Linked DNA regions of Danio rerio. The protein of the gene in region 2 purifies or fractionates together with the protein of the main gene of each other region. This does not show direct contact. Links are inferred from orthologs where the notes say so. Each region holds a gene or a part of one and is shown on either strand. Other genes may lie near its edges. The genes, in order: ubl7a and ube4b.

The links.
Region 1: the proteins of ube4b (region 2) and ubl7a purify together in Homo sapiens (affinity purification with mass spectrometry; 3 studies listed by BioGRID and IntAct, counting the BioPlex papers as one, with this or other methods). This does not show direct contact. The link is inferred for Danio rerio from reciprocal best matches to the Homo sapiens genes UBE4B and UBL7.

Annotation. Positions count from the first base shown.
Region 1 is NC_133200.1:34,179,090-34,186,008, forward strand, and holds the start of ubl7a (ubiquitin-like protein 7a), read right to left. Parts: upstream 4,503-6,919; 5' UTR 4,359-4,502; coding exon 4,175-4,358; intron 1-4,174.
Region 2 is NC_133198.1:32,461,489-32,467,864, forward strand, and holds part of ube4b (ubiquitin conjugation factor E4 B), read right to left. Parts: intron 4,922-6,376; coding exon 4,838-4,921; intron 4,639-4,837; coding exon 4,582-4,638; intron 4,496-4,581; coding exon 4,379-4,495; intron 4,269-4,378; coding exon 4,170-4,268; intron 3,533-4,169; coding exon 3,419-3,532; intron 2,468-3,418; coding exon 2,269-2,467; intron 2,174-2,268; coding exon 2,035-2,173; intron 1-2,034. UniProt on the Homo sapiens protein: Ubiquitin-protein ligase that probably functions as an E3 ligase in conjunction with specific E1 and E2 ligases. May also function as an E4 ligase mediating the assembly of polyubiquitin chains on substrates ubiquitinated by another E3 ubiquitin ligase.

The DNA.
Region 1 (6,919 bases), on a different chromosome or scaffold from region 2:
CAACTGATTTGCTGGGGAAAAGTGTGGCTGTTACCACAGAATTACAATGTTAGAAATAAAATGAAAGAAATATCGTATAAACTTCTCCACAGATTTTATCCAGCAAAACATTATTTACAAAAATGTAAAAGTGGGATTGATATAAATTGTATTTTTGTAATGAATTTGAGGAGACTGCATTACACGTATTTTGGCATTGCGCATACTCAGTCAACTTATAGACAGAGGTGCAAAAATTTAATAATAACAAATTACAAAGTACCCTACTCAAGAGGAAAATTGTTTTTAATTAATTAATTAAATTATTTTGCTAACAAAATTTTACATTCATAAATGTAAATTTACCAATAAGAAACCCAACTTTAAGGTGTTGATGACTGAATTATGCTTATATATTAGTAGTATCAGAGACTCTAAATAAGAAAGCCCTATGCACTTTAAAACTTTGTGAACTCTACATTGTATTTATTTGATTATTACATATGTATATTTGTATTTGATTTATGCTTACCCCCTGGCATGTATATTTCTTCGTACTGTTAAAATTTTATTTTTAAAAAATATATATAAAATAATATAAATATATATATATATATATATATATATATATATATATATATATATATATATATATATATATATATATATATATATATGAGCAATTCCAGCGTTATGGATGTGACATTTGCAGTAAAAACTCAACACATAGATTGACAGAGAAAGTATATGTTAACATTATATTGACAAATTTGATTATATTTTCTAGAGCAACTAGCCACAGAGTTATGGGAGCAGAAAAATATCAATCTGTAAACGTGTTTTGTACTTTAAATGTGGAAAATAAGCATGCGTTATGGATGTGACAAAAAAAGTCTGCGAGTTTACAGTATACAACACACTTTGTAGAAATTATGTGAATTAAACTGCACAACCCAAAAGAAATAATGCTAATCAAAAGGATTTGAGTCGGCTCTCTATAAAACAAAAATTATTGATTTTATTTTATTTAATATTTTCACATTTCTGATGAAAAAGTGTTGTTATGGATGTGACATCTCTCTGTTATGGATGTGACGCATGTGAAATTACCATTTGTGTGACTTTGGTAAATCAAATAGTAATAGTTTGAAAACATTAACAGATGCTTTTTGAGTATTTTTAAAGTACTGTAAAATACTTGCCTACACAAACAACCCAGAAATGGTTTCTGTATTTTGGTAAAAACTTAATTTTTTTTCATGGCAAGGTTGACATTTGCACGGAATTGCTCATATATATATATATATATATATATATATATATATATATATATATATATATATATATATATATATATATATATATATATATATATAAATTAATATAAAATATTAAAAAAAACATCATTATACAATAACTTGGCTAATTACCATAACCCGCCTAGTTAACCTAATTAAACTTTTAAATGTCACTTTAAGCTGTACAGAAATGTCTTGAAGAATATCTAGTCAAATATTATTTGCTGTCATCATGGCAAAGATAAAATAAATCAATTTTTAGAGATGAGTTATTAAAACTATTATGTTTAGAAATGTGTTGAAAAATCTTCTTTGTTAAATATAAATTGGGGAAAAAATAAACAGAAGGGCTAATAATTCAGAAGGGGCTAATAATTCTGACTGTTTTGTTCATTATTAGTAAATAAACAAAGTTATATTAACTAATGAAACTTTATGTTCAAATGTGACCTTAAACATAGTTTACCTTCCGAAATCTTAGATATGAAATATCAAAGCATTTTTCTTCATTATTCATAAAAAGAGATACAGTAAATGCATTAGCTTGCATTTCGAAACGGCTAAACACTTTTGTTATTGTAAGTGTATATGTGTTGCATAAGGATGCTGTGCAGACCGGGGTAGTTCCAAATGGAGCTTTATTACCAGTTATGGTCAATCAGGCAGGGGTCAAATACCAGCATAAACAGTGTAGGAGACACTGCAGATCCAAAAACAGGCAAAAAGGTTCAGGGCAGGCAGCAAAGGGTCAAAACACGATAAACAGTCTAAGGTCAAATACACAGGAAACTAAGAGAAACGCTTATGTATGAACAGCAACAGCTAAACAATACTCAGCCAAAACATGGATCCAGAGGGTTTTAAGATCATGTGTCTGCGTCAGGAGGCCCGGTCTATAGAGGAAGATGTGGAGGACTCCATCCAGGTAGCCCATTTAACATCTTTGGATGAATTATGCCTGATGATTTTCTTTCGTGGAGGACTTTCTGAGCCCCTTTATTCAATCATGCCATTACACCAGCCCCACTGGACATTAGAAATATACATTGAACTGGCATTACAATAAAGTGGGCCCCCCTTCACTGTTGGCAAGGTGGAGGAGACCCCTCAAAGGACAGCAAGACCCGCTGGCAACGGGGCTTGCTGCTCATTCCACCACCACACAGCCAGCTCACAAGCAGGGCCGGAGCAAGCTGAAGTGCCGCTCTAGGCAAAGGACGGTCATGCCGCCCTCAACCATAAACAGGGGTGGAAGAGTGGGTGCCCTCTCTATTCTGCCGCCCTAGACGCAGATATAACAAAGGGCACGGGTGCTGAGGGTAGTGTCGGGGACGCCGCTCTTTCTATTCTGCCACACTAGACGTGGATATAACTGAGGCCGTGAGTGGTGCGGGTAGTGTCCAGACGCCGCTCTCTCTATTCTGCCGCCCTAGACACGGATATAACTGAGGGCGCAGGTGGCGAGGGTAGTTTTGGGGATGCCGCTCTCTATTCTGCAGCCCTAGATGCAGATATAACTGAGGGCGCGGGTGGTGCGGGTAGTGTCCAGACGCCGCTCTCTCTATTCTGCAGCCCTAGATGCGGATATAACTGAGGGCGCGGGTGGTGCGGGTAGTGTCCAGACGCCGCTCTCTCTATTCTGCCGCCCTAGACACGGATATAACTGAGGGCGCGGGTGGCGAGGGTAGTTTTGGGGATGCCGCTCTCTATTCTGCAGCCCTAGATGCGGATATAACTGAGGGCGCGGGTGGCGAGGGTAGTTTTGGGGATGCCGCTCTCTATTCTGCAGCCCTAGATGCGGATATAACTGAGGGCGCGGGTGGTGCGGGTAGTGTCCAGACGCCGCTCTCTCTATTCTGCCGCCCTAGACACGGATATAACTGAGGGCGCGGGTGGTGCGGGTAGTGTCCAGACGCCGCTCTCTCTATTCTGCCGCCCTAGACACGGATATAACTGAGGGCGCGGGTGGCGAGGGTAGTTTTGGGGATGCCGCTCTCTATTCTGCAGCCCTAGATGCGGATATAACTGAGGGCGCGGGTGGCGAGGGTAGTTTTGGGGATGCCGCTCTCTATTCTGCAGCCCTAGATGCGGATATAACTGAGGGCGCGGGTGGTGCGGGTAGTGTCCAGACGCCGCTCTCTCTATTCTGCCGCCCTAGACACGGATATAACTGAGGGCGCAGGTGGCGAGGGTAGTTTTGGGGATGCCGCTCTCTATTCTGCAGCCCTAGACGCGGATATAACTGAGGGTGCTGGTGGCGAGGGTAGTTTCGGGGACGCCGCCCTCTATTCTGCTGCCCTAGGCGGCCGCCTAGGTCGCCTCTATGGATGCGCCGGCCCTGCTCACAAGATGACCATTCTCCTAATAAATCTGCATTTGGAACAACCCCGGTTAGCATAGCATCTATACACAACAATATAGATAAGTAAATATTTTGTTGATCATGATGAAATGTGTTTCCCAGTACTGGGTTGCAACTGAAAGGGCATCTGCTGTGTAAAACATAAGCTGGATAAGTTGGCGGTTCATTCCGCTGTGGCCACCCATGAATAAAAAAGTGACTAAGGCCAAGGAAAATGCATGAATGAATAATGAAATGTATTTTGTTTAAAGAATTGTTAGATTTTTTGTTCAAAATAAATAGATCAAATAACCTGATACTATTTTTCACATTCACCAGTGAATGAGAAGATGCTGTTTAAAATCAATAAATGATGACTTTTATCAATGAAATTAATATTCGTCACAAACAGTAAACGGAATTATGTATGCTTCTTTAAGATAAAAGTGTAATTAGGCGAAACTGAACAGTTATTTAATATAACGTAGTGTCACCAGACATTATGAATGATCCATAAGCCCTGCAATAATGTCATCTAATATTACTGTGATGTTACCTATAAGCTCGGGATCTGGTATGGCATCAGGGATCTGTGCAGAGACCAGCTGTTTGAGAGTGGAGACCCGATACTCTCCGGGAGGAACATCTCCAGGCTCAGCTTCTGGAAACTGCAGTAATGACTTGGGTAGTGAAGGTTGATCCACCAGCTTTAAAGACAGACGCCACTCCGAGAACGCCATCATCTGACGCGCGGTTTGCAGCTGCACGGGGAGCGCGTGCTTCTTTTGGCAAGGCAAAAGAAAGGATTAAAATGTGTTTCGGTCTTGAAAACACAATGGATTAAAATAAACAGAATCACGCGACTGTTCTCATCCGTGCGTCATGGCGTCACCGAAGAACTGTCGAGTTTGTGGGAGTTGTAGTTTTCCTGATGTGTTCGCAGGCTGTAGTGCTCAATTATGAACAGAGAAAACACAAATAATGTGTAGGTTTGAATACAATCTTTTACAGTGTATGAATAAAATATATTTATATGTTTTATTACAAAGATATGAGAATATTTCTTTCAAATTTCATTAAAATAAAATATTGCCATTTAGAACATTTTATTTCTTAATACGTTTACATTTGGCCAGGATAATAGGTGTTTTTGTTTTTTGTGAAAAAAAATTAGGGTTATATGTAAGTGTCCTAAACGCAACAAATAGACCAAATGTTTAAAAAAAAAAAATAAATAAATAAATAAAAAAAAAAATATATATATATATATATATATATATATATATATATATATATATATATATATATATATATATATATATATATATATATATATATATATATATATATATATATAGTTGTTAATCTAAATTATTAATAAGCATTGTTTTACCCAACTCATGAGCAAAACCTGAAATTACCCACGGATCATGGCGGATCTATGCAAATAAATAAATACTATTTTCTTTGAAGCGTTTTTTTTTTAGCAATTTTATTTTTGTTTTCTTGCTTAACATAATACCACAGTGTGTTACAGTCTTTGAGGGAATACAGAGACAAACATTTGCAATAGCAATTAGCATTTCTACTCATCTCAAAGGAAGTTGCTCCGTGACTATCACTTGGTAAGTGATTATCCAAAAGGACTTTGTAAAGTTTAACCCTCTAGTTTTTTTAATAGAAAGCACATTTATAACCGTTTGTATTAGCACAGTTTTAATACACAGAGCCAGGTTGAATTATGTAACTTCAAGAAGAATATCTAACGTTATGGCTACAAGTGTTTAAAGTGTTTGGGTTGATTTGTTTGGTTTTTAAGAATAATGTCCTAATCTAAAAACATTAATGTCGCTACAGATACATATGATACTTACAAACTTATTCACAATCATTTTTAATTCAAAGTAAAAGCTTTTTTTCAATAGCGAAATATTGGCCTCGACGGCCTACAGTGAATATATCATGTCAATTTCAGAATGCAAACTTTACAAAAAGTAACGATTGCTATACAAGGTAAGATTATTGTTGGTAGTCACAAATTACCCATAGGATTGCTACTCTTGACAGTTAAACATTGCTGTCTAATTTCACTGACAAAAAAAAGAAAAAGAAAAAAAAGAAGACATTTTGTTTTCCATCTGTTTTAGCCCATTAGCATAGGTAAGCCTAAAATAACATCTAGATATATGCTAGCAATCCAAATGTTGTATCTTTTGTCAAAGCTACTTGATTCAGTAAACTGAGTAAATTAATGGAAATGTTTGATTACTTAAAAATGTAATGTAATGTAATGTAAGTTGTAATCTGCTACTTAAAACTACACACAACCTTATTTATTAAGAACCATTAAATAAAGATAGGAATTATTTAAAAATGATTAAGTATTTAAATGTTTTCACATCTTCAATTTTTTCTCACTTTGTTGTTGCCTGTTAATAATAATAGTTTAAGAAGTAAACCTGAACTTTACTAGCTGTTAGCATAAATTAAATGATTATTTTTTCCAATATTTCCCATGTGCTGTTTAATGGAGAGATGTTTTCAACTATTTTTTGGCAGTTTTTGTTTTTGCAAACCCACCAGAGGCAGTTGTGTACGCTTTTTGAGATCTCAATTTTCTCTCGCGAGTGCCATTCGTGCACTGATTGACCGACGGACCGACCCTCCTCCTTCTTTAAACCCAACTGCAGTATTTAGAAAAGCAATCCAGAAAAAGAAAAGCCCTCACCTGATTTTTACCACTTTTTCAGATTTTACCACATTTTCACCCTGTTATTTACTTGTTTATTTTATTTTTTTATCTTTTGTTTTTGTCTTGCCAGCTTTCTGGAACTGTTCTTCGGCAGATTCAAACCCCATTGTCGCAGTCAACTTCGCTCTGTGTGTCAAATCCGACGACATAGGAACTACCAGACAAACTGGTAACAGCAGAAAAATTGTCCATACGGAGGTAAGTGGTCAGCTGATAAGCGAGTACAGGAACGGCGTCATACTGCACTGTAGCGTTCATTTTAAAGACGAAATGCAGCCATACGTAGCTCTGGCTACATAATTCGTGATCTCCAGAAATGTATATAGGGCTACATTTTCAGAATGAGCCTTTGTTGGTTACCTAAGTTACCTAGGCAATTTAGGTTATTTGGCAAGTCAATTGAAAAAAAAAAATTAGGCGTCATATAATATTGACCATAAAAGAATCTAATTTTTTAAATTAAAAACTTCTTTTATTACTGGCAAACTAAAAGAAATAAGATTTTCTACAGTAGAATTTTTTTAATATGAAATACGGTGAAATTAATTA
Region 2 (6,376 bases):
TAGAAATGACATACTTTGAATTTAGTACTAATAATAATACAAATAATTAAGTTTGTAGAAAGCATAGGGAAACAATCTTAAAGGCACAATATGGAAGATTTTTTTCATTAAAATATATATGATAATTCAATTCCAATGTCAACCTTGGCATGAAAAAAATTCAGTTTGTACCAAAATACGGAAACTGTTTCTGGGTTTTTTAGGTAAGCAAGTATTTTACAATACTATAGAAATACTCAAAAATGCATCTGTCAGTGTTTTCAAACTATTCTATTTGATTTACCAAAGTCACACAAGTGGCTATTTCACATCGGTCACATCCATAACTGAGAGATGTCACATCCATAACACTTTCCACATAAAAGTGAAAATATTTAATTAAATAAAACCAATCATTTTTGTTTTATAGAAAGCCAACTTGTATCCTTTTGATTATCATTGTTTCTTTTGGGTTGTGTAGTTTAATTTACAGACTTTCTACAAAGTATGTTGTATACTGTAAACCGCAGAGTATTTTTGTCATTTAAAAGTACAAAACATGTTTACATATTGATATTTTTCTGGTCCCATAACTCTGTGGCAACTTGTTCTGGAAAATATAAACAGATGTTTAAATATAATATTAACATATACTTTCTATGTGAATTTATGTTTTGAGTTTTTACTGCAAATGTTACATCCATAACGCTGGAATGGCTCATATATATATATAATATTATTATATATATTATTATTAATATTATTAATATAAATTTAAAACAGAACAGTGTTATATATTTTCCTGACTAATGCGCTTGCATTATCCCAAATTTTTAAAAGAATATTCAAATTCAGAGAAATAAGCAGTTTAACTAGTGATAGGACCTGTGTCCTCCTGTGTCGCCATACTTATGACATCACATGCCCTCAATTTCTGGTTAGATTTGTTTTATTGAAAACAATATTAAAGATGCTTCTTTCATATGTTGTGTTATATTAGACTGTACAGAGCAGCGTTAAAACGGAAGCTTAAAATGTATTTAGTATGATAAAACAGCGCTGCTTTTTCTCAATGTGACCATTAGAGAAAGAATCTGAAGCAGTCCACTATGGTATAATAAAAGCTCTGTTGCTTTTGTGCCATGTCACGCTCATCTCTTTTTAGCAATTACTTCAACGCTCTCATTTCACTTTTACAGCTTTCAGGCTTACTCTAACTTCATACTACCACGAGAATAAGGTGTCAAATATTTTTGCTCATCCATAAACATGTTTTTGCATGAGCACCATTGGATATAATGATTTCACACTCAGTCACTGCATCATCAAACTACGCCTTTGTTTGTCATAAATATGCGCCCTCTACAGGTTAAAATTATATATTGTGCCTTTAATTAAACTGCAGTGCTTCATGAAAGTGGAGTTCTTAAAGTTTCTTGTTGTGGTTTTCTTGCTGCAAATCTATGATTAGTGGAACGGTCTGTACAATCATGAATACAGTTTTTGTGTACAAATTCCACATTTCAAAAACGTATTCATTTGAACAAGTGGCTCATGTAAAATGCATGTAGTCAATTCACAACCTTGAAAATCACAAAGGGTCCATCTATAAAGGTATAGTTCACCCAAAATTAAAGTTTCCATGATTTACACATCCTCCATTTTCTAGCAACTATTAAGATTCAATTTCCCGAAGGACAAAATGAATGACTGCTCCATACTCGACCTGCAACTGTTATATGCTAACGTTAATATTTACAGTTTTAAACAGTTGAATAAAATATACTATGATGATGTCAACTGGAGGACTTGCAATAATGTGCACTTTGTGAAGCTGCTTTAAAACATTAATTATTGTAAAAAAAAGCACTATAAAAATGAACTTGAATTGAATAAAAGCATGGAGATCTTGCAAAGGGAGAACATTTGTACTGCAAAGACTGATATTTTACTGCCATTTGGTACAATGACAACACTTTAATTGATTATAACCATATATGGTTAAGTTAGCAAATGTTGTTTGGTTGTTTTTATGAGTGAATCTGTGTGAAGCACCTGTTCAGATCCCTGATGGCCCTCAGTCTCCTTATGTAGCGCCGACAGCATGGGAGGATGGACAGATGATGTGCGTGAAGCGTTAAGAAAAAGCACTCCGTTGGGAACTTGGGCTCTGAAAACTTGGTTGGGTCTTCATCTGTGGGAAAATTAGAGGAACAATAAACCGGCTGCCTGAAGTCAAACTAAGCATCTAAAGTCATTTATTTGTTCCAGAACAGAGCCCACACTCACGCAGCTCAGTGAGCCAGCTCTTTAGTTCCTCCATAGTGGCTTTGAGCCGCGTCTCTTCCGGGCTGACATTCAGCCGACATTTGGGGTGGAAGATATAGAGAGGATCCACTGTTTCCAGCTTGATCTTCATACTGAGCTGCTGCAGGACCCACAGGAAGTTCATCATGAAGCCGTCTGTGGACACCAACTTATCATCGGTCTAAAAAAAGAAAAGAGAAATAGAATTGCATCATGTGCTCTCATTAAATCGCAAGACCTAGATCCATTAAGAGATCTAATCTATTGTTTGTTTGTTTTTTAATTGAATTTTCTGCATATTACATGATATCAGCTAATTACCACATTAACTTTAAAATAAACACTTCCCTACCCACAACCCACTGCTTCCTATAAGGGAAAAATAGTAAATCAATCATTATATAAGCAAATAAATAATTATGATAAAAAAAAACAGTAAGATTATTTTATGAAATTAAATTAATAATGAAAAAAGCATAAATAAAATATATTTATAATTACAGTTGAAGTTAAAATTATTAAACCCCCTTTGATTTTTATCCTTTTTTAAATATTTCTCAAATGATGTTTAACAGAGCAAGGAATTTTTCACAGTATGTCTGATAATATTTTTTCTGCTGGGGAAAGTCTTATTTGTTTTATTTCGGCTAGAATAAAAGCTGTTTTTAATTTTTTAAACACCATTTTAAGGTAAAAATTAATAGCCCCTTTGAGCCATTTTTTTCGATAGGCAATTTATTGTATAATGATGGTTTGTTTTGTAAACTAATTACCCTAACCTGCCTAGTTACCCTAATTAACCTAGTTAAGCCATTTAGTTAATGTCACTTTAAGCTGTATAGAGGTGTCTTGAAAAATATCTAGTCAAATATTATTTACTGCCATCATGGAAAAGATAAAATAAACCAGTTATTAGAACTGTGTTATTAAAACTATTATGTTTAGAAATGTGTTGAAAAATTTTTTTCTCCGTTGATTTTTTTCCAACTTATTACAAGCAAACAATTATTTTGGTCACGTATCAAAAGAGGGTAGCGATACCCGTTTTTTTTTCCACATTCAAGCACAGACGGTCATCAAGAATACCTTGGTAAGATGGCATTTAGAAAGAACCCCACTGGAACAGATTTACCTGCATCTGAGCCTTCTTCACATTACGATTCACAAGAGCTGCCATGTAGCTCAGAGCTGCTTCCCTTGTCTCTCCATTCAGCAAGATGTTGTGCAGGATTTTAAACAGATCTCCCTGGAAAAACACCACCAGCACAGCACAAATACAATTACCAAATGTTTTTTGTTTTACAAATATGCTGATATTTAATTTGGATTTTAACATATAGGAAATATATTGAATTAGAAGTTTAAATTTAATGGCCAGTTGTTCCAAACCTATGAGACTTTCGTTTATCATTGGAACACAAATTAGGATATTCTGGTTCAAATCTGAGAGTGAAAGTCTCACAGGATTAGGAAGAGAGTAAGTGATTAGTAATAATTTTATTTTTTAACAGTAAAAAAAAAGTATTTTTGTAAAGGTTCTTGAAACAATAATTATTGTGAAAAGCGCTTCAATTAAATTAAAAAAATAAACTTGAATTTAATTTTTGGCTAAACTAACTCTTATTTTAGAAAAAGACTCACTATCTGATTTAGTATATTAAAAATGTCCATTTTTTCTTTCTTTAAAAGTAAAAATATTGCAATGCATTTATACTACAACAAAGATTGACTAAAACAACACAAAGGTCTGGTTGAAAACCTAAATCACCAAAACCCAAAAGCGGACAAAGAGTCATGCACCCCTGCTCTATAAAAAGAATACACTTCTAATATTGGAGCAGCTCATTAATAATCTAGGAGGAGTATGTGATATGAAGGCTCACCCTGGCAGACTCCAGATAGTGCTGCAGAGACTGGCTGACCACACGCGTGTTCTCCATAGTGATGGCAGGGCCTGAGAAGTACTTGTCTCCCACTTTAGTCTACAGAACATCAGACAGACAGCTAAATAAGGTACTTTCCTCCCATCATCCTTCATCGGAGCTGTGGCTTTGCATCAAGTCGTATTTGTTTAAGGAGAAAAACGACTTACGTCATCTTCAGCGAACACAGAAAGGCTGAAGAACGCTCCGAGGAAGGAGAGTCTTTGAATTTCTCTTCCTGTCCCGGGACTGAGAGGGTCAGGACACCACAACGGCAGAGAGGTGATCTAAAAATACACGTAGACAGGCAATATTACCAGTGAACCACATAACCTGACTGACTTCAGTTCTTAATCTATGGAAAAAAACCTACCAAATTGCATACAGGGTGAGTCTTCCCGAACTTGATTTCACAGAGCTCGGCCAAAGCCTGGAAAATAACATCATATTGTTCATGGACATTAAATAAGAATCTGAGGTCTGTGACAAATTTAGAGTAGATTTTTTTAGGGTATAAAATGTGCTAAATATCAGATAAATCTAACTGTAGTGGCATATACATTAAGAGTTTTTGTGGTGATAATGTTGTCTATATTAGGCCTTTAAAAGAACAACAAGCAGATTCTTACCATCAGAGGGAACTTGAAGTTGTCACTGTCAAAAGAACATTCTTTTACAGCTAAAGCAAGCCCTTGAAGAATGGGAACGAAGATCTGAAAGAATAACAATGCTGACCATTATCAGGATGAAACTGCATTTATCTAAAGTAAACAAGCTTCTTGTCTATTCTTCTAATCTTCAATAGTTACAGATCATTTTAAATGGCATACACTACCACCCAACCAGTGAGGATTTTTAATACAAAAGAGGTTGTTTACACTCATGAAGGATACATTTATACAAGAATATTTAAATATACAATAATTAGTGAAATATTTTTGCAATGATGCTTCTCTATTTAAATATATTTACAATTTTAATTTATTCTAGTGTTGAAACAGCCATTACCGCATTGTTTAGTGTCATATGATCTTTCAGAAATCATTCTAATATTCTAGTTTCATATTCAAGAAACATTTCTTTCTATTTTAAAGTTACGCTGCTTAGTATTTGGTGGAAACCGTAACAGTTTATTTTAGGGGTTTTGGTAAATGTGCATTTCTAAACAATAGCGTTTTATTTGAAATAGAAATATTGATTATAATTGGGGGCGGTGCGATGGAGCAGTGGGTAGCGATGTTGCCTCACGGCAAGAAGGTCGCATGTTCGGGCCTCGGATGGGTCAGTTGGCATTTCTATGTGGAGTTTGCATGTTCTCCCCGTGTTTGCGTGGGTTTCTTCCAGGTGCTTTGGTTTCCAACACAAGTCTAAAGACATGTGCTGTGGGTAAATTAGGTAAGCTTAATTGTCCCTAGTGTGTGTGAATTAGTGTATGGGTGTTTCCCAGTAATGGGTTGCAGCTGGAAGGGCATGCACTGGGTAAAACATATGCGGGGTAAATTGGCGATTCATTCCACTGTGGCGACTTCTGATTAATAAATGGACTAAGGCGAAAATGAATGAATGAATGATTAACTGGAAAGCTGCTTGTGATGCACAAGCACAAAATAGTCAGAACAATGAAATATAAAACAGACTGCGTAATAAACTTTCAAAGATTAAGCCTGTAAGAATTGTTTTACTACAAATATTTTTGATGTCTTTGACAATTCAAAACATGAGCTGAAGACAGGGCCAATGGACTCCACAACCCACCAGGGGGGAATGCGTGAAAAAACAGTTCCTGCTGCATTTGCATCTGAGTATGCTGAAAACTCAGCTTCATCCCCCCAACTCACGCATATGGTCATTTCAATGTTTGAATGTTCTAGAATTAACCAAACTGACTTTAACCATCATGTTTGATATCATTTGAAATGTCTTAGTGCGATTGGTACAATGGTCTCATTCTCTCAGAAATAGATATAATCAACACAATAAATATATAACTTCAGGCATCTTTTGAACCACTGTAAAGGGTGTGACTTTTTACACACACCCCCTTCCTTGAGGGAATTCTTGGATTATTTAAGGCAAGGTTTGAGAAAAACTCAGCGCGATTCTGCCTACCCAGATCAGCCCATAACATGGAGCCTAGGCTAGGCTCCATGTTATGTAAAATTTACACG